Linked DNA regions of Drosophila melanogaster. The protein of the gene in region 2 interacts with the protein of the main gene of each other region in a pairwise test. Each region holds a gene or a part of one and is shown on either strand. Other genes may lie near its edges. The genes, in order: CG14881, Map60 and emp.

Evidence for each region.
Region 1: the proteins of Map60 (region 2) and CG14881 interact in a two-hybrid assay, tested with the Drosophila melanogaster proteins (one large-scale study listed by BioGRID).
Region 3: the proteins of Map60 (region 2) and emp interact in a two-hybrid assay, tested with the Drosophila melanogaster proteins (one large-scale study listed by BioGRID).

The regions. Positions count from the first base shown.
Region 1 is NT_033777.3:16,431,903-16,438,610, reverse strand, and holds CG14881 (uncharacterized protein), read right to left. Parts: upstream 3,713-6,708; 5' UTR 3,647-3,712; coding exon 3,538-3,646; intron 3,478-3,537; coding exon 3,310-3,477; intron 3,256-3,309; coding exon 3,044-3,255; coding exon of another isoform or gene 2,956-3,043; coding exon 2,584-2,955; 3' UTR 2,545-2,583; downstream 1-2,544. Other genes in the region: ema (endosomal maturation defective), read left to right, coding at 1-546, 612-818, 1,273-1,588; mRpS33 (mitochondrial ribosomal protein S33), read left to right, coding at 2,131-2,250, 2,313-2,534; Fntb (farnesyl transferase beta subunit), read right to left, coding at 4,095-4,326, 4,383-5,054, 5,117-5,373, 5,430-5,528; CG31279 (uncharacterized protein), read right to left, coding at 5,815-6,012, 6,071-6,496.
Region 2 is NT_033778.4:9,587,088-9,594,260, reverse strand, and holds Map60 (Microtubule-associated protein 60), read right to left. Parts: upstream 3,395-7,173; 5' UTR 3,233-3,394; coding exon 2,961-3,232; intron 2,897-2,960; coding exon 1,846-2,896; 3' UTR 1,517-1,845; downstream 1-1,516. Other genes in the region: CG1827 (uncharacterized protein), read right to left, coding at 3,877-4,945, 4,999-5,111; clos (closca), read left to right, coding at 499-1,271, 1,335-1,514, 5,456-5,870, 5,931-6,255; RpL31 (ribosomal protein L31), read right to left, coding at 6,334-6,484, 6,555-6,778.
Region 3 is NT_033778.4:24,980,539-24,988,589, reverse strand, and holds the start of emp (epithelial membrane protein), read left to right. Parts: upstream 1-3,795; 5' UTR 3,796-3,915; coding exon 3,916-3,940; exon of another isoform or gene 3,941-4,031; intron 4,032-4,087; exon of another isoform or gene 4,088-4,209; intron 4,210-5,385; exon of another isoform or gene 5,386-5,563; intron 5,564-7,431; exon of another isoform or gene 7,432-7,590; intron 7,591-8,051. Other genes in the region: CG3829 (uncharacterized protein), read right to left, coding at 1-59, 120-375.

The DNA.
Region 1 (6,708 bases), on a different chromosome or scaffold from region 2:
CAGCAGCAAGCAAAGACGCTTTCTGGTCATTGACGCATTGCAGCTAATTCTCGTCGAGCCGGATGCAAAGCTGCTTGGCTGGGGCGTGGCAAAGTTCGTTGGCTTTCTGCAGGACGTAGAGGTGCAGGGTGATAAGGATGACTCGCGCTGCTTGCACATCACCGTGCACCGGGGCGGAGTCACTCACAACCGCACTCCGTTGCTCTCGGCTAAGTTCCTGTTCGACGATCACATCCGTTGCATGGCTGCCAAGCAGAGGTTGACAAAGGGTCGTAGCAAGGCGCGACAAAAGAAGATGTACCAGATTGCGCAACTCATCGAGATTCCTGGACAGATGGACTCTCCCGTCTACGCTGTTGGTGGCACAATGGTCGCATCCAGTAGCGGCGGAAGTGGTAACAGCAGTGGCAGCAGTTCGCGCAGTAGTCACCACCGTCCCATGTTCTCCACGGCCAATCGAGTGCCGGGATTTGCAGCGGTGCTGCGTGGAAGCAATAGCGCTGGGGTTAGTCGAACCCAGATGGCCCCGAATCGATCCATCGAAGGGTAAGTTCACGTCGGTGTGTCCTCATGTTCCTCATTTCCATCCTCATCTGTGCGTCTTCCCGCAGAATTAGAAATGAAAGCGCTGGCCGCTCCCGACGCCGCAGTCCCAGCTCAACTTCGGGCTCGAATCTTAGGGCCGATCACTCGGATCGGGAGCGATCGCCCAGTGTTAGCATGGGCAGCCACAGCTCCTCGCAGTCTCGGGAAAACTCCCAGCCCAGAAGTACTGGAAATCGGTCGCGGGAGAGCAGCCCTAGAATGCCCAGGCCGCGGTAACAATGAAACATTTTCGTTAGCTCTGTAGTCTTAGAATGGTTTCTGTTATAATTGAGATTTGTAAAGTATTGCAGTATTCTAAACTAGTCTTTCTATTTTTTTTAATTGGATTACGCCCAAGACATCAAAAAGTTTATTTTATAATTTATCGAGCTGTTTACATGATTCTCGAAATTTGCTACATTTTTGGCTCCTTGGCCAAAAAAAAATCTTTAAGATTGACTAAGTTTGCTTGTAATACCACCTTGTATAATTATGTATAAAGATATCGTTTGTCCTATATTTTTATATTTATTTGCATATTATTTTGACAAATAAACAAAGAATAGCATGCCTTTAAGCCCTCCAGTTTTATCTGTCCTCGTTATTCTATGTGTTTGTTAATTATAAAATTTACTAATTTTCACCTAATCGAGTTATAAATAAATGTGTAATATTTTTTCATTCTAGGTCGGAGGAGATTCCTCTCGAGGACTTCCAGCACTCACGGAACAACAGTCCGCACTCTCGGGGAAACCCCTCGCCTGCCTCCCGCTCACACACACCCATCCGCGTGCTCCACTACGATCAGCTGTCCGGTCATAGCGGCTCACCACGTGAAGCGTCCCTGGGGGGAACTAACGCCCTGCTAAGCCAGTTAAATGGGCTGAACCGTGAAGTGCTCCCAACGCAGAGCTCCGAGGAGACTTCTTTTATTGGGAGCGACGGAAACGAGGCCACTGGCGGATCGGAGGGCAGGCGACGGGGGGCCATAGAGACGGTTTAAGATAGACTAGAAGTTTTAGTATTACATTGGAAGCAGCCTTATGCTTAGATTGTTGCTAAAATTTTGTTATTCCAGTTGACTAATAAGGTGGTACATACTCTAATTCCTTTTCATTTTAAATAAAAACTAATTTGACGAATTTGAGCTCAAGTCTATATATATATTAGTAAAGAAGTATGTTTTTTGAACCTTCGATAATGGAAGCCACAAATTATTGTTCTAAAATGTGGGTTTCTTATATTTCGCATATGTTCATTTTTATAACAAGGTTTTACTTTTAATTTTACTGAATTGTCTATAGACGCCAGTGCTGTTTTGTAGTCAGTTTTCAAGTAAATGTTCTATAATAATCTTTAAAATAACGGTCAATACAGGTTTAAAATTTGAGGAATGTCCCTATTGTCGGCCTTTTGTGTGAATGCCAACTGCACTTGGAAATCAGCTGTCGCTTGTTTTTGTTTCGTGACATAACCGCAATTTACTAAAACTTAGAAACTTAACTTAAATTATTTCATGAAAAGCATAGCAAACTAATATTAACTATGTCCCACAAGTACACGGAGCTGATTAAGGTCGGCACGCAGTATGCTCGCCGGATGAACTACCTCTCAAATCGCATTTTCGGCGAAGTGGCTCGCACCACAAACGAGAAGTCCATGAAGGTATGTTCTCGAAATAAATTTATTAATTAAAATGTAAACATGTTTTATCCGACCTTCCCCAGGTGGTTCGCATGTTCTCGGAGGAACCAATTCACAAACGGGACTACGTGATCAACTGGTATCCGCGGCACGTGGAGACGCACTTGCTGATGAAGAACCTTCGCGACTACGGACTGTTCCGCGATGAGCACCAGGACTTCAAGGAGGAGATGAAGCGTCTGCGCAAGCTGCGCGGCAAGGCGCCTCCCAAGAAGGGCGAGGGCAAGCGGGCCTCAAAGAAGTAGTAAAATAAATATTCTAACATCCACTTTTATTGAACCAAAGCTAGTCTTTTTAGTTGCGAGTCAGCAACTTGGCGCTGCCGGCGAACACCACCTCGTCGTTCTGCCTTATATCGTACTCCACGGTGGAAATCTTGCGAGATTGTAGCAGACGTACGGTCACCACGGTGTCGGTCTCAATACGACAGGGTTTCAGAAACTTGAAATTCTGCTCTAGAACCACGGTGCCCGGACCAGGGAGCTGGGTACCCATTATACCAGCCACCACCGCGTTGAGCAGGGCTCCATGGACGCGGCGCTCCTCGGTGGGCGTTTCCAGACTATGGATGTAGTTGTGGTCGCCGGTGAACTGGGCAAACTGCTCCAAATCGCTTTGGGAAAACCGCTTAACCACTTGCACCTGCTTCACTGCTTTGCTGCTCAGCTGTCGGAACGTTTGGGGAAGCCTTTTGCAGCTGGACAACCTCTGTGCGTGTTGCGAAATCTTGCAGCAGCAACTGACAAAGTTTAACGATGCGTTCATCGTGGGCCTTGACCCGCCACTCTTGCACCGTCCTTAGCACCGCAGGGCTCAGAAGTAAATCCCGTTCAGTCCGTTCACCAAATTCCAGTAATTGGTAAAAGAGCGCCAGGCTGTGAAGTACTATTTCCGGGTGATCAGTGCGCACAAAGAGGCCGGTTAGCAGTTTTAGCTGCTCTCTGATAAATTTGGCAGCCGTTTTGTCTGCAATAAGAATATGATGAACAAGGTTGGTTTGAAAATCAAATGTTTGCTTACCCAGGCAAAGGTTACACAATGCCGCAATTCCGTGCACTTTTAATAGCTGATCCTGTGTCTCCAGCGATGCCACAAATACATCCAAGGCGTCCGCCTCCAGGAGATGCGACCAGTTGATGGGATCGTATGCAAAATTGGCCAAATTAGCAGTCACCTGCTGCTGGGCCTCTAATAATGAAAATCAAAAATGAATTCACACCGGCAAAATGACGTGAATAAAAACCTTACCGATGTTGGTTGTCGTATAATACTCATCGACCAGGTGACCAATGTACTCCCGGCGGTCAATGCCCTGGGCAGGCGTCCTCCTCTTCAATGTCCTGTGGCTGGAGAACATAAAAAGGATGCGAAGGCAAAGCTGCGATTTGAAATCAGTCCCAAAATGCCATTCACAACGCAAACTATTCATGTTTTACCATTCACATATAAACGTGCTGAAATACATTGGGGGCAAAATAATAGCTTTCGGATTCAAAGCCACATTTATAAAAGTTATTTGTTTCATCTCATTTTTTTTTATAATGAGCAATTGGGTTGTTGTACAAAATCACACATGAATTTATTTGAAAACATAATAATTTTATTTCGAAATAATATATGACATAAATATTTTTTAGAAAACGTTAAACATTTTAATCAATTCCTTTTCCAATAAGTACATTTATACAAGAAGCGAAAAATACAATATTTCAAAGATTAATTTATTAAACCAAGTTTAGTTCTTTAAAGGTAAACCACCAGCAAAACGTCCTCATTACGCAGGCTCCTCCTCCTGACCTGAAGCCTTAACTCTCCTCCTTGCTGGGACTGTCTTTCCCCAAGAACTCTGTGTCATTGGAATTGCTGAAGTGGCTCCTGGCAGCTGCAACTGACTTTGGTGGGATGTTGAACAGTGGGTGGGTAGGCAGTAGCTCGTTAATGGTGTCGCCCAGGACCTGGGGGCTGCTGGCGCACTCCGAGTGCTGGGCAATGGAAACGCCACTAAGAGTATAGCATGTGTGGTAGAGATCCTGCGGTCTGAAAATATGGGTTTTACATTAAAAAACATCACAATGTTGGCATTAATCCCTTACTTTCCGGGTTTGTCGATAAGCCCGCCGCTCTGCTTTTGGCAGCAGAGCAGGATGTACTCCTGCAGGGCCTCCACATCGAAAAGGGTGTGCTCCATTTGCTTATCGACGCCGGATAGCGTTGCCTGCGTAATGGGAATGGTGGCTCCCACCCAGAAGGAGTAGCAGCCATCAACCAGTTTGTTGGTCCTCCCTTGGAAGCCGCCTTCGTAGGTCATCTGACGGCGCAGTGTCCATTTGAGCAAAGCCTGCCTGTCGCACTTATCAGCCTCGTTGAGCAGCGCCAGGCCCGCGATTCCGCAGAAGGTGTAGCCACCATGGGCCTCCAGACCAGGGGCTCCTCCAAATCCTCCCTCGTATGTCTGACACTGGGCTATCCAGTCGCCAGTGCCGGCAAATAGCTCCTTGATCACTGGCTCGGGAAGATTTAGCAGCTTTGCGCAGGAGATTGCGCAGTAGGCGCCACGCACATCCGTCTCACCATCCACGTGGAGCCGGAAGGAGCCGTCTGAGTCACGTACACTGAACAGGAACTGGACCAAAGTCGGTCGGTCTATGGCACGGTACGCCTGCTCGCTTCCGATGATGCACAGACTGTTCACTGCTGCATAGGTGGGCGCCAGATGGGCATACTGTCCAGGTCCTCCTCCAAAACCCCCAGTCGGCGAACGGCAGCTATGAAAGAGTGATTGGAGCATTAAGGATGCCTATTAGAGAAATATCCTTCAAAGACGCACTTGCTTAGAAACTGGACCACGTGGTTCAATGTCTGGTCGTCGAAGTTAAAGCTAAGTAGCTGGGCCGCCTGCAGGATCCAGTAAACGCACCACGCGCGACTGCTGTCCAGGCACTCGTAATTGGACGGCAGCCGCCTCAGCATCGCGTCCAGGTAGTACTGGTGCTCCAGCCGGAAGATCTGGGTGAGGCGCGGGTCGGTGAACATTATCTGCTCGAAGCGGTCGAAGCATTTCTCCACCGAACTCTCCGTCTTTTGCTGCAAGTATTCATCGGCTCTTATCTTTTCCTGGGCGACATTCGGGGATTACTCACTTGCTCGCGGGATGTGGTGGTGGACACCTTCTCGTCGTCGAAGATGTAGCTTTTCAGGCGCTGGAAGTTGCGGAACATCAGCTCCTCCTCGGTTCCCATTTCTACTCCGAGCCGGTTAAATTAAATTAAATAAACTAAAAAGATTTGCCGAGCAGGAATTTTAAGCGAATGGTTTTTGTTTGTGTGATGTAAATTCAACTTGCAACACTGCTTTTTATTTGATTAGGGTATTCCCTATACAAAAACTCGATTTATTTTCCTTTGGCTAGATATTAAAAAATTTTACATTTTAATAATTCATTATTTCCAACATTAAAGCCAGTAATATACAATTAAATATTTATAAAAAGACCATAAATTCACATTTAAAATTCTTAAAACTCGGTTATCGATGTGACATCAAACTTTCTGTGGTGACGAGATTGTAGGCGGTGGATTGAGAACTGGAGTCCAACATAAATGTCTCGGGTGCATCGTCACTAGTCCACAAGCCATACAGTTCCATAAATCCATAGACAAATAGACACACTATAAAATAGGCCGTCAGAGTGGCGAAAACCTGAAACACAATTAGCAATAAGATCTGCAATAATTGTATAATATAAATTTACATTGTTCGGGCACCGACATCACAAACTCACGAAAAAGCTTCCTCTGAGAATCAGGAACAGCCAGCCCTTCCAATCCAGCTTGCCGATCCACGTGATGAGGGGTTCCGATCCCGATGAGACATTTTGTGGACTGGGATCACCTATGGCACCGATTTCTCCGCCTTCCCCCCAGCTATCGCTCCTTAAAGGAAGATACCAGTCGTAATAGAGCTGCGTTAGCATGGGCACCTCAAATGGCGATTTTTTCTTGATTTTCTTCTCGATTGTGGGTTCAACTGCGACCGGCTCGGACTGACCATCCTGCAAATGCTGAAAGCAGTCGTTAAAATCGGCCAGGGTTAGCTTACGCAAATTGTCGCAATCATCTGACTTCTCATGCTTGGAATGGACAAAGTGCCTTGTTGGCCTGGTATTTTTCTTGTAAGGAAGCGCTTTGTTGGCTTTCGGCTCATGCTGCTAAACGGTAAGATTAATTTAGTATATAAAAATAATAGCTTGATAGAAATAGAAAATATAATAGAAAAAATATTACTGGCACACTCAAATCGTGTTCCAATAGGCCCCGGCGAGATTCGAACTCACGATCTCCTGTTTACTAGACAGGCGCTTTAACCAACTAAGCCACGGCGCCATATTCACGCATGTGGCACGACTTTACTTTAGTGCTT
Region 2 (7,173 bases):
CTGTGCATTCCGTTTGGCAGGTGAAATTTCTGTACACGTTTGTACGTAGCGCGGGGCGGGGGTTGCACTTAATTCGAACACTCGCAGGTGTGCTTAATTACCTTGTCAATTGGTCGCTGATTGGGTTTGGTTAAATGCACTTTTTACGGTCGGGCAGTTTCGGCAGAGCAGAGGTTTGTGATTTGAAACAACAAAAACGTCTTCGCTAGAATCCCAAACGCCTGGCAGCTGGGGATGGCAGAAGCATCGGTATATCGATGTTTTCACAACTATTATCGATCTCTACAATAATCGTTGAATTTAAATATAAATCGAATTTATAGAACTTGGGATTAAAAGATTAATTATAAATCATTTTCGGATCATAAATATAAGTACTACTCTATAAAACATTTTTTAAATTTATACATGGCTTTACTCTCGCCTGGAATTTTGTGAGGAATACCATGCTACCAAATGGTTAATACTATATTAAAATAAATCTTTTTCATTTCTTAGCAACTTCTCCCTAGATTTTGATGATTTTGTAACTCACTCGTTGAAAACAGCCGGCTCTCACGCTATAAGTGGATATTGGAAACTGCCTGAGGCCTTTATTTCGGGAAATCTAAACGATATTTACATAAATAATTTAAACCTTGCTAATGATGTCGTTAGAATGCCTCTTCAAAATGACAGTATCAATCTTCCCTTGATAGTCGAAGCATTGAAAACTGTCCAGGGCGGCACTATAAATCGTCTCCATACAACCCCTGAAAGCCAGGTGGCGGATGTGCCTGTGGCCAAGTGGATCCATGGAGCAGCCTACCTTTACGGGAACCACAGTATTTCTGGCATTACTCATCTGAATAATGTCAATCTCTACAACGATCTTACCGTGAACGGGTCTGTAAATGGTGTCCCCTGGCAGGCGGACAAGCTCATTTTGATGGACAATGAGCAGGATATACCGGGCTCCCTGCTGGTGGCGAATAGTCTTCCCGAACAGAAGCGAGTTATGAGCAATAATGTGAAGAATCTCTGGGTGGATTTCGTCAACGATCTGCCCGTTAACGAGTTACTGGTCAGCAAGGCAGAAAACCGTCCCAATCTTCACGTGGAAAGCCAACTGATCTTCACCCAGCCCCTCACTGTGGGTCACTACGAAGCGGGCAACGGAAATGGGCTGCTGGATAAATATTACAAGAAAAAGCGGGGTGTCGAATCGAATGACATTCATGATTGGCAGCAGCTGCAGGAAAATGTGGCAGCTATTAAAAACAGATTGGCCAGTATGTTAAAAACACATTAATACAAATTCTCCTTTAGTCATGTGCATTAAATTCAACCAACAGAGCCGCCTAAAGTGCTGGAAGGCTTTGCTGTGCTGCAGAAATTACCTCATAAGGCCTCGCACATGAAGATCATCTCCGTGGACAACGAGGACGTACTGGCCATCTGGGAGCAGATGCCCAGCGAAGTAGGGACTACTTACACATGGCAACCGGATATACATCTTTTTGGGCGAAGTTCAAGTAAGTTATGTAGATTTATTTGCATATAAACGTATTTTAAAATCAAGTAGCATATTCAACCTTAAATAGGGACAAATTCGAAATCTCAAATATTAGAAATACATTTTAAATTTAGCTTTAAAATTCATGCGTAAATGCTATGAACACTCATACCAGAACTGTGAGTAAATACATTTTACAAGTGGGCGGCACAGAACGCAGACGTTTGAACACGGAAAAAATAATACGATAAATACGAGAAATGGTTCAGACAGGCCTACTACATAACTACCTTTTTAGTTTGTCTAATAAGTAAGCTGAGTAATCATTTAAATTGCGAGTATCAGTCGGTCTACTGCTCCAGTTCGTCGCTCTGCACATCGAGGATGGCGCGCAAGATGGACAGCTCCAGCTTGGCGGAGGCACGCGAAGAGAGTCTGTTCATCACATTGGCCACGTACAGCCCGAGAGACTCGTGTCGCGACGAGTTGCATAGATTCTTGAAAAAGGTTGGCGGCAGCGAGTTGTCAAAGTTGCCCAGGTTGATAATCTCGGGTGTATTGGAGGAGGCGGCGTTGATCTTCGGCCCGAAGATAATGTCATTCTTAAAGTCCAGCTCGTCGATGTGTGGCGAAAAGCCGTTTGTGGAAGCCACCGAGGTGGAAGCAATGGTGGCGGCTGTCGATGAGTTCGCTCCCCCACCACCACCGTTTATCTGTTGTGCCGATGGAATGGTGATGATGTTGATACCCGGCGGTGGTGTCTGGTTGTCCTCACGCTCCTTCTTAACCTGCATCAGCTGGGCAGTGGTTGTGTGCACCACATTGTTTCCCGCCGGCAGTTGATCTGGAACGCTGGTGTGCACTGAAGTTGCGGCTGCCGATGAAGCGGCTTGTTTCGGGCTCGTGGTCTTGGTCTGCTTTTTTTGCGCCGATGACGAGGTGTACTCCTCCGAAAGTTTGCGCTTCAAAGAATCTGGCAGCTGAATGGTGGTGCGCGAGGAGCTTGATCTTTGCCCACTGGCTGGCGCCTGTTGCCCAATAGCCGGTTTCGGTGCTGCTGCGGAGCTGGGCGTCTTCTTCACAGTAATTCCCTTCTTTTGCAGTACTGCTGCGGCGGCGGACAGCGAGCTACTTCGCGGTGTGTTGTTAGCCAGTGTGTTGAGCAGCTTTTTCTCCTCGATGGCTGGGCGAGGAGTGTCGACGTTGGGTTTGGCGTACGCCAACCGCTCGTCCTTTTCTGGCGAACCGGTGCTGTGTGACTTTGTGGGGCTTTCGCCGTCGGAGGACGCCGAGCCGGTAGAGTTGGTGTGCTGTCCGTACTGATGGGCGTCATCCTCGTCCTCAGGCTCCTGCACCTCCAGCATTTCGTACTCCTCCACCTCCTCCATGGGTACTTGATCACTGCAGAATAGCAGTAGAAATTTTGTTAGTGTTTCACGGTTAGAGGACTATTTACGCCACTTACTTCTCCTCCTTGATTGAGATTTTAGGCTCCTGATGGATCTGATGCATCAGACTGAAGAGCTTCCACGCCGAATTGCCCTTTAGCTTTTCCTGCTCGTACTTCTTTTGGAGCACTATGAAGATGGAGCGCGATTCGTGCACAGAGAGCTTGTTGAGACGCCCGATCCTGGCCCACGCCTCCTCCTGCTCCTGCTTGCTGGCGCCGCCATTGTTTGGATGCAGCACCTTTTCTTTGGCGATGTCCTGCAGAATCTTGTCCAGTTGGATTGCCATCTTAGTCAGCGACTTGCGGCCCGCTGGTTGCGCGTTCCTGATAATTTTGGAGGCTGTTTTGATAACACGCGACACACGAATTGGTATATGTAACTAGGATCCGCTTGTTTTTCTCTCCGCTTTCGCACCGTTCGCTTCTCTTTTCTTCTGTATTTGGCGTCGGTAAATTGGCGGAAAATGTGACCGTGCAACACGCAAATACTAGAAATGCCGCCTTTTGGTACAGTAACTTAGGGATGAGGGAGATTTTGGCAACATAGATGTTCACAGTTCACAGCTCTCGATGCAGTGAAAATTAAATTTTTATATATTATATTTATCACTATAAATATTAATACTTGCATTATTTTTACTTATATAACAATTATAATGTTTCTCCATAAGGAAAAGTTATTCATTTTGGTAGTCATAACTATCGAAGGAATGGTTTTTGTTTTGTCTTTTTCTATTCTATTCTCATACTTTATTTATTTATTTTATGTAAGGATCCTTACATATCGATAATTCTTAATACCGCTAATTTACGGTAAAACTACCCGTCTATCTTGCTGCCGATAGGGACAAACAAATAACGCAATTTATATTGCAGATGAGAACTCCACGAAATTTAAATTTTATTGAAATACGTTACAGTTTTCGCCACCTCACAACGCCACGATATTTACTTTGTCCTGACCACCTATGCATTTGACCGTTTCCAAGCGCGTAGGCCCATCCGCTCCGGCTGGACTGCTAACCATAAAGGGGAATTCGGCCAGGCCGTAGCAGGCAGCGCCATAATTACCCAGCCGATCTACGGCGATGAGAGCACCCATGAAATCCTTGTGGTGCTTGAGAATGCGGCGAAGGCCCTCTTGAGCTGCCTCAGCCGGAGGTTTTCCCGCCCGCATGGTCTCCACCGCTAGCAGGGAGGGCAGGAAGCGCATCATCACATCTCCATCTCCGGTTGCCACGGCTGCACCCACCTCGTTGTCTGCATAAGCGCCAGCACCCGGAATGGGGGAGTCGCCGACCCGTCCGGGAATCTTGTGCCGCGCCCCGTTGGTGGAGGTGCCGGCGTGGATGTTGCTTTCCACGTCGATGGCGATCATGCCGATGGTATCGTGGTTCTTGCGTCCGATCTCATACTCATTGCGGGCACGGTCCTCCTTCCAGCGGGTCAGCGGAGTCGGCCGCGGCTTATACGGGCCGCAAGAGACCTTGGGATCCGGGTGAACGTTCTTCCAGAAGTTTGGCTGGCAGTTCTCAGCCGTCCACTGTAACCACATGTCCTTCGACTCCGGCGTGACCAGCGACTCTGATTCGAATCCCATAGCATTGGCGAAAGCTGACGCCGCATCACCCACCAGCATGGTGTGCTGCGTGTGTTCCAGAACATGCCGGGCTACCTTAATGGCATCCTTAATGCGTCGCAGACCAGCCACTGCCCCCACATCCATGGTGGCCCCGTCCATGACCATGGCATCCAGTGTGGTTTCGCCCAACTCGTCCGGCGATCCGCCATAGCCCACCGTTCGGTCACACTGGAGTTTCTCACACTTCGAGCAGCCCTCCACTACCGCATTCCGCGTCTGCCGGAGTCCACCCTTGCTTTGCTTCAGGATTCGCCAGGCGAGCACATTGGCAGCCGTGAAGTTCCAAGTGTTAATGACCATGGGCAGCAGCTCACCCGTCGTCTTATTCGCCTTCACGGCAGTGGTGCCAGCTTTTCCACTGCAAAGGGGCGGATCTTAGCGAACAAAGAATACGCTGTATGCGCTGCTCACCTAAACGCCGAAGTCAGCGTTGGTTTGGGCGAAGTATTTACTGCCGCAAGGATGGAAAACGCCATGGTGGCCAAACAAAGGATCCAAAGACTTGCCCGCAAGTGCCTTCTCATGGTTAATCGTAATGGTCTCTACGAGAAGTCTTGGTGTATCACAATCTGTCCCTGTTCTGCCGGAAAATGGTCGAGTTCTGCTTTTAAATGCTAGCAGTCTAACCTCACTGTTTTGCTTTCTTATCTGTTGTTTTGATATACCCTCTAAAAGAGTCGTACACATTTTCAAATTGGTTTAAGCAATATTTTAAAACTTGAAAATGTTTCAACATAGATTAAGATATAGGCAAAAAACCACCTATTAATATCGATAAAGTCCTATCCGTATAGCCTATATTTGGAGTGGAATTATAGGAAGAGTATTCCACGGACACATCTATAAAACACTGCTTTCCTTTTTGTAGGCACAGCACTGACACAACTAAACAAGACAAACTTGAATCCAATCAATGAGGAGGCACAGAACCCGCAGAAACTGCAATTCAGATCATATGGATTTCAGTGCCGGGCACTTCAAGAGGAGAACCAGATAGTAATCCGATGCCTAGATGAGCAGAACAACAGCAGGGAAGCAATCTTGCCCAGGCGGGCCGTAAAACAGTTGTTGCCGGTCGCTGATTCAGATGATATGACCATTCTACTTCGTACTCCCAGAGCGGTGGAGCTTTGGAAGTGGAGTAATGGCAATTACTCTCTATCAAGCAGGCTGATAGATGGGCAGGTGGAGCAAATGGCTCTTAGTCAAGGAGGTGCTGGCATAGAGAGCGGATATGTGGCGCTGATGGCTTCATCGCCAGCAGCAGAGATTCGGATTTACAGGTAGATATTCATAAGCACTTCACGCATAGGGCATTTACAAGGATTTCACTCGTTTTGCAGCTTCGGCAGCCCAGACACGAGCAGCTTCCAACTGGACCAAGTCCTGGAGCTCGAGGACTCCCAACAGTCGCGGGTAATGCGCTTTATGCACCTGCCCGAGTCCGACGATCTACTGCTCTGTGTGTCCAACGTACTGCCGCAGCAACCGCTTCGCATCTACCAGCACCGCGGAGCAGCGGGATTCCAGCAAATCCTCGGCGACAGCGCCTTGCCAAAGGCTCATGCCCTGGAGGTGCTCTATCTGCCCAGCCATAAGCTGCGACTGCTGTCCATGGCCACGGAGGAGTCGGTCTACTTGCTGCAGCCACAGTTTACTACACTTTAAGTCACTTGTTTTGTTTGTTTTTTCTAAATAAAAATTACTTTTTATTAACCGTGTTTTCTTGGCCGTCAATTACGTTGCTTAGTCGTCGCTGGACTCGACATTCTCGGTCTGCAAGTTCTTGAACGTGGACACCGGCACATAGGTCACGTAAGTGTACAGCTTGTTGGGGGAGTCCTCATCGTCGTTGCGGCGACGCGCCAGGCGCACGCGAATGCGGAATGGAGTGGACCTGGAAGGGTGGATGGATTAGCGGCGGATTAGAAAGGATGCTAAATCGGAGGAAATTAAGGACTACGCACCTGATACCCTTGGACCAGATGTGCTTGTTCAGACGGGTGTCGATCCTCACATCGGTGGTGCCCATCTCCCGCTCGGCGAACTTGCGGATCTCCTTGATGGCGCGGGGTGCGCGCTTCTTGAAGCCGATGTTGTGGACACGCTTGGCCAAGTGAATGGTGCACTCGCGCGTCACGACTTCGTTGATCGCGGATTTGTTGATTTTCTCACCCTTGGTCTTGGTCATTGTGCTGTTTAGCCCGAAACGGTGCTACTCAATATCCTGCAAGTGCGTAACAACAAATTTTAGTTAATGCCACACAACATAAACAAAACTTCAGTGGAATATTCCATTTGCAAAGAAATTGTTGCACAGCGAAAATGAACATACGCCGTGATCGGTTTTTCGACTGGGAACATTGTCCACACAGTTTTGTTGCATTTACTTCGTGGAAATATGCGATGTTTTCCGATTAATATACAAAATCGCAAATTACGAACCTCTTCCGGAAACGCAGCGAAAAGAAAAGGATAGAAGAAGAGATGCTAGAGGTGAGCAGAAAACAGTGTGGCTGCATTGTGCGACCGGCATCGTGAATATCGTTATGCCTGAAAAAGTAAATTTAGGGTATTCCGCAAAGC
Region 3 (8,051 bases), about 15 Mb from region 2:
CCACATTACGAAAAATCCGGTCACGCTGATTACAAAGAGCAAAAACATTACGCCCAGCACTGAAAAAAGTGAACCGCATTAATCAAGCATGTCGGGCTTGCCGAGAGTGCTCTACTCACTTATCAGAGTTCCAATATCCTTGGATGTTGGCTCGCGGTTTTGAGCCTGATTGCGTAGACCCAAGGCTTCCATTATCATGTGCAGCACAGAAGGTTTCTCGGCCCCGTTCGTCATGCCGTAGCCCCCAAAGTTTCCCGTGCCCACCCCGCTCCGAGTAGAGTTCAGAGTGAGGGATTTAGTAACAGATGGGGCCGATGTACGATCAGATTCCTGCCGAGCGGGCATGGACATCTCTGCATCTTTGGTATGTGACATTGTTTTCTGATAGTCTGTCGCTGCACGCTAAAATGGGAGTAATAGTAAATGTCGTTATCCTATACGTATGTTGTCCCCGGTTCAGAAAGTAAACACGAGCAACATGTAACTTAGCTGGAATTCAAAATCTTGTTCATTAATATTAAATTTATATAGTGTTATCTTTATAAATGCGGAACACGTGGCTCAACCCAGGAATCGTTTGGCATAACTAAGCTTATCAGGATGGGCTATATATTACCCTAGGAACTCGGGGTTCATTGAACACATAAGAAAACTGAGCACCTCCTTTTAAATTGCTATAATTCACACCTAATAGTTAATACGTTGTAGAACCTAATTCAATTTCTTTGCTCGTTGTGCTAATTTTAAACTATTTTTGACGCACCAGACAGATTTTTAACCATGCGCTTACAAATGTTTCCACGAACTAATCGGGGTTTCAATTCCGAGAGCCTTGGTTGCTTCGGAGCTTGTGGATCTGCCCGTGCTGAATTCAAAGTTCAACCGTATGTGTTCTAGCCTTATCAGCAGCTCCTGCGTACATAAGCTTGGCACATACTTACTAGGCATTAATTCATTATTAAATGGAAACAACACGTATCAGTATGGGCACTATATGTATAGAGTTGAGATTTAGTTCGATTCGCCAACTCTGAAATCGGGTCAACGGCATCCGATAACGCGCTCCCTGGGTGTTTAAATTTTCCAATAATGCGGTCGATCTTGAACTCGAATGTGAACGGAATTGAAATAATTGGTGAAACGGTCGGGTGAAACGATTAAATTGATAGTGGAATTAGCTGTTTTCAAAAAAAAATAGGACCAATCTGAAAAAAGTCCGAAGCACTCTTCTCTGATTTCTGGAACTTTCGACATCAACCGAGGACTATCTTAAATCGGCGGTCAAAGGAAATCTGTATATCTTGACAATTTTGAATCCTAGGCTGTGATTGCTTCCACTGTGATATATTAGGGTCTGATCTAAGGATGGTATGCTTTTACTCTGCAGTTCACTCTAACTTACTTGTCGACCTCTTGAAATCGCAAATGGTTCGTACTTCTCTCCGCGCTCCTCCTCTGCGTTTCAGTTGCAGAAAAGAGGCATTGGCTGATAACGTGATGCGTGGTGATAGAAAGGGGGTGAGTGGGTGGCACTGAGCTGGAGAGCGCCTGCAAAGAGCGCGGTCACGATCAACGTGCACTTGGAATGAGCTTTGGGGCACCAGCTGATTTTCGGTGGGCAACACAAACGTGCGCGCTCCGTTGGAATCGGAACCACTCTCTCGGAGACGAACTGCACCCACACGCGCTTATCTGGCGTTCTCTGCCACTCTCTTTCACGTTGTTTACTCGCTGTTCAGTGCTCTGCACTTTCGAAGTCTGCCAAACATTTGGCGTCTTAATTAACAATTTCGTCGCGTTTACGCTGGCTGAACACAGTCGTGTTTATTGGGTTTTTTTCGGGTCTCATTCCGCTCCCCTACCGATAGATACTCCTGCTGGATGCACCACCTATGAGATGTATCTATGCGACAGACTCGTTTTGTATCTGGTGTCTGTATCTGTGCCTCTGTGTTCCTTCGTTCTTTTGTTGCTGCGCGTTCTTTGTTCGCCCGCTTCTTTGTTTTGTCGCCGTCTCTTTTGTGGGCTCGATCGCACTGGCTGGTCTGTTGTTGTTTTAATTCCAGCTGCAGCTGGAGCGTAGAGTTGAAGCTAGAGTTAGAGCTAGAGCAATATCAGGTTTTCCAACCGTACTGCAGTTTTCCTGTCCAGATGTAAGTGCACGAATCTAGCGCATATTAGTTTCCGCCGCCACTTCCACTTCAAAGCAGCAATTAAAGACGGACTGCCTTGCGGAATTTGATTATCTGCGCACGGAGTTCGAGTTTGGCCCACTGCCACCGGTTGATCCACTTGCAAATTTTTGGTTTGCTGCGATTAGCTACATACTCGGGCCGGCCCACGCACTATCTGGCCGAGAACCTTACGGAACCGATTAGATTTGGCCCGTTTCGCGGCGATCCGATCTGCGCTGGGATTAGAGAGCGGGCCTGGAACTGGGACTGGTTCTCCGCTGGACTGGACTGTGCGTACTGCCGACCAAACAAGTTATTACTACGACGTCGGAATCGGACGGAATCAGTTCGAGCTGGGCAACTGAACTGAGCAATGCCAGCAGAGCAGTCGCTCCTCTTTCCTCATTCTTTGCTGTCGCAGTTGCCGTCGCTGCATAGGTCGACGCCGCTGCCGCCGCACTGATAACCGGGCAGGCGGTCAGCTATGATTGCAGATTACCGCTGGACGGAGCCGGCGCCGACTGCGCTGTCGAGAAATCAAGAAATCGGGATCCCTTGTTTACTACGTAGCAGCTTTGTGCGTACCCGCGAGACAAAGTGCAAAGCAAATCGTCAAAACAATGAATCCACTCGGAGCATTATATAAGATGTACCAAACCTCCAGCTGCTCGTTCCGCTCCAGCTTCGTCTGCGCATCATTATTATTGAATCAGAATGGATTCGTTAAGGAGGAGGCTCAGAAACGGAGGCTTTATAGATTTCCTTTAAAAAGTGTAAATAAACCAGTCGATGTTTTGTTTTCGTTTTGATTTTATATTATGGCACGCTGATGCAAATATTTAAAAAGTCCCATAACTATTTTTAGGTGTGCGCTGTCGCCAAAACAATTTAAATATCCCTTAAGTACTTGGGTTCCCTTTACCCATGGACCTGCATTTGGTTTACCCAAGTAATTAACGGCGGTGAAATGCACTCTGAGAACTGCGACGAATACACAAATGCTGAATATGCTTTCATATCTTGCTCTCGTTTGTAATTTTGAGACGAGGACGTATTTAAACTGGCTTATCGCGCCCCTTCTTGGATTATTGAGATGGCAGAAAGGCCGGAAGATCGCAAATACCCCCGCCGGAGCCGTGTTATTGAACCCCAAGTGTAAATGAGCTTAGCTTTATCAATTCAAGTATTCCGCCGTTTCAAAACGTCCCTTTTCCGAAATGCCTGCCTATTGCCCACCTCATCGGGTTTCGCATCAGCACAGTTGATAGCCGCTCTGAACTTTTTGTTTTCCTCTGATCGGTTGACGCGCACGGGTATTCAATCTCTTAATCTGTCGTGCTAGCTACTGGCCCCTCAATTTCGCAGACCTGCCTGAAATATTAACCTGAGCACTCTCGACGGACCAGTTAATTGTGCGGTGTTCAAGTTCGGCTGACAGCTCAAGGGGCTAAATGAGTTACTTAAACTTGTTTTAGGGTCTCCCGTAAGCCGCCCTCGACAGATGTTTGCTCGTGCCGGTTATTATCGGCTAGTGCCCACTACCCTTCGACCGCTTACAGGAATCTTATCACCCGAGTGAGCTGCCTTATCAACCCGGTTGCCAGGCAGTAAAGTGCCAAACAATTCACAAACACAATCGAATATCAGAACACCAGTACACTGTAGTGAAGCCAAACAGTTGGGAGAGTGCTCAAAACCCTTTGGAACTCTTGAAATCTTAATGGAACTCTGATCGTTGGCCATGCAGTTGGACGACATTCTGCATAGTAAGTCAGAAATGGAATCATTACAGAAGTTAGACTTGGTACTGCTTTCGGGGCTATGATGACACGCCATCGGAGCTGAATTAGCATATGCGTACGCCGTTGTTGTTTTCGCGGTGTTTTTGTTATTATTTATTGCATCATTTACAGCAACAAATGCGCCACTTTGTACGACAGTTTACATAAACAGAAAGGTCGCATGCAACCCGGTTAGCCTTATTGGCATGCAAAGTCACCGCGGAGTCAAGCTTCGGATACGGGTCTCCATTAAGGTGATTATGTGTGGTTGGACTTGGCGTGGAATGTCACAAGCATTGGGGCGATATTGTCTTGGCCTACCTTCTATGTACGTACTACAAAGAAATGTAGAATTATATTTATATTAGTGTGTGACGATTGCCCAAGAGTTAAGGCTTATATTGGATCATGTTATATGTTATGTTATATATTATATAATGCAACCAGATGCGCTACCGCCATGCAACTGAAAGTCCACTATATTTTCAGGGTGGACTTTAGATTTTTCTATGTGCCCGTTGTATTTTCCGTTCTTATAATATTAGATTTTATAATTTGTCTGGGAAAACAGCTTACTTGTTTATTTAGCAAGTCCCAGTTTATGCAGAAGAAGCGATTCACCAGCCGGAATTTCTCCAGCTGTTTACCAAGAAGTCCGTGCATGAAAAGAAAACGTGGGCAATTCATTGAATCGCATTAGCTTTATTGATTTCCCCTTGTTGATTGATTATGTAAATACAGCAAGTTTCTGACGCCAGTTTTTTCCACAGCTGAATCGCGCATATCCTAGACTTCGCTTTGGCGAGATTTTGATTCTGGGCAGGCAGCAAAGAAACGCTTCGCAATGCAGACAAAAAGCTCCATCGACAATAACAATAATTTGAGATCGACGGAGCTGTCAAATTTGCATACATTCTGCATACTGCAACCTGTCGTCGATCGTGGATGTGGTTATTGTGCTGAGTTTGGCAACCAACCCGTGAGTCACCTGCCACAACAACCACAACCGCGAGAGCACTAACGACAGATATCATAATCCCGCGAGTGGACGAGTGTGTTGGTGTGGCAATCAGTGATATTTTTGGAGTTAGTAGCATAAAACGAAACGCGCAACGCAACAAAACGAAAGACTTCAATGCAAGGCAAGGCAACAAACTCGTTTTATCAGCCTGGTCCAAACATTGGCAACCACATGGACCGCCTCGCCCGATGCCGATCCGCTCGTGCTTTGATCGCATGCGTTGCACTAGCAAAACCCAAAAGCTCCCGCTTGCTCACTCTCGCTTTTGCATTGCTACCCACCTGCCGGGCTGGGGGTTTCGCCTACCTGTTTATCAGGTTTTCCAGTTGTGCTTTGTCGCAACGCGAAGCCGAGCTTTCGCCGCCTGAACATCTTACGATCTTACGTTGGGGGGCCACTTGAAGACGGCGACTTCAGTTACTTGACGGCACTGCGAGCGTTCGAGTCGTTAACGATTTTTACCGGCGGTTGTTGCTTAACGTTCCCTGCTCACCGATCAACGATTACCTTCCTCGTTATAGCCCGGGCCCAAGAATCTTGGCTTGTACATCGGACCGCCGCAAGTCCGTGTTACCGTCAAAAACAGTGTGAGTGAGTGAGTTGGCATGGCTATTTGGAAATGCCTGTGGTTTCCAGCCCGTCCAGCCCGAATCAAACCTGCCGCACCAGATACGAGGCACCAGTGGCAGTAAGAGAGTGTTGGGGCAGCAGTGCGAGCCGCATTCCTAGGATTTGCCTGACTACAGCTGAGTTCAATTATTGTTTCTGCCCCGATCGGTAGCAGACCCTTGGTCCCCGTTCCACGGTCCGAGTACGAATCCGCATCCCAGTCACCAACTTCGACTCCAATCAGAGCGCTGGTTAAGCAAGACCTTGCCCAGTCAGCCAAAATGAAACCACTTCGACAGCGAGTTCGCTTAGCAGCGCTACAAAAGCGGAAAATCATTGAATTATGCTTGGGGGCTATGATTTTTCAGTGTTTGTGTTTTTATTTCTGCTTCGGTTTCTGTGCTGCCTCCGCGTCTAAACGCTGTCTGCGGCCCTGCCAAAAGCGCATTTGATGTACGTGCATAGTTTTATGATTACTTGTGTGGAAAAAGTGAAATTTCGCTCTGCACTTCACTCGGGCTGCCACGAAGCAGCGACTCACAGCGAAATCAAATAAAAAGCAAAGCCAAACACACATTTACGAGACGCGAGATCCGAAATTAAGCATGCGCAGGCAAGAAAACCTAAGATAAATACTTATAAATAAATGAACAGGGGCCAGCCAGCTTTTGACCACATAACGAAGACGATTATGTGAAGGTTGCAGCAGCAAAGAGCTTTGGGCCATCTCCGTCATCAGGTCGGTTTGCCCTACCGCTGTGCCCAGTTGATCATCTAATTGAGGTGACAATTGGGTGGCTTTGTCTTAGCCAACTGTTGACACATTTCACTGAGAAAGCCATCGCACGCTTCGCACTCCGAAGTCCCCTGTCTCTCCCACGGCGGAACTGACCCACTGAAAGTCCAAGATGAACCACTTCAGTCCGCACATGTCTGTCACGCCATTGACGACGACACCAACATGGTTTAAGTCCTAGATGTAAAACCCATTTCGTTGCGTATTATCAAATGCAGCACGGCACGACAAAACGGCAAGTGAATTGTCATCCGCTGGCATACTTTTTTGGACGGTCAGTGTCACATTGTCCATAATCAGCGGGATCATATAAAGAGGGGTCGGTCCGAAGTTTCAAATACTCTTTAAAGCTGTGTTTGGGAATTTTCTGGAGCTTTGATTGAAAACCCGTGGAAAATCTTTTTCCCTACAAAGCCCCGATAGAGGCAAGAAATAGTGCAGACATCTTGGTTGACAGTGACTTGTAGGAGTGCAACTCTGAATGTAATACCCTCCGCAAGGGTAGCGTCTCACAATTTGGGTCAGGGTAATTGCCTCCACTAAACAGCTACTACCGCTTGTATTTATTTGTGCAACACTTTTTCACTGCGTTTAAATTATGAGACGATTCAGCTCGATCTCTGCGCCACCAAGCTGATCAAAGCCGAGGAGCGGATGGCTTCGCCGCAATACCGCTTTCGGCTCAGCTCATACCAAACGTGTGTTTAGAAAGTAAGTTTCTATTGAAGTTGGATTCTGGCCAGGCGATTTGCGTTAGGAAGCCAGCAGCTGCTAATTGAACAGCCACAGCAAGTGAAATCAAAAATAAAACAAGCCATTACATCAGAAATCGCAGTTGGATGGAATGCCGAGAAGCGCTATTGTTATGGAAAGGTGTTGCTGGGTCTAGGGTTTCCCGTTTCACAGATTTGCATACTTCGCGGCGAGCTCGACGCTGATAAGAGTCGCTCAAGTTCTGGGTAAACACTTGGCAACGCTGAGTCATACGGTCTGTGTAAACATTTGGGCCCGACGGGTACTGATTCCGAGCAGTGAGCAGGCTGCACGGTTGCAGTCGTTATTCGGAACAAAGCAGCCCAGTGGGGCGTGAACGCAGAGCCCAATTAGCAGGCAAAGAGCCAAACAACTGAAGGCATGGGTAGCCAAATCCAAATTGGAAATCACTGATTAATGGCCTGACCGACCAGTGTCGCCGAAAATTCATTTGAGGTGAAATAATTATTATTATTATATTATGGTTAATTAGTATTCAATGGGCATCGGTATCGGCATCGGCAACGTTAGCGGCGATGCCAACAATGGTGGATCCAATAGCCATCTGAATACAACAGCGCAAATATTTAAGCCCAGCTCGAGTTCGGTGGGCGAGGGCAGAGCCAGAAGCGGAGAAGTGCGACCTTGTGGTGCTCGGAAAGCGCAGTAAACTCGGCAAATAATAAAACTTCGTGGCTGTGTGCGTTGATAGGCTAGAGCGAACTCAAAGTGCAAAGTTTAGCGCTTATAGCTAAAACAGTGGAGAAATCGTAAAATCACTAGCGATTTTCGAGAGCATCCAAGAATCATACCCTCTATTACGACGGGGTGGACTCGTGGAGCATACGAGCCACATAACTCCATCTGGACTTCGTGAAACCCATATAGCACCGATAAACGGCCGTTTGTATGCACTT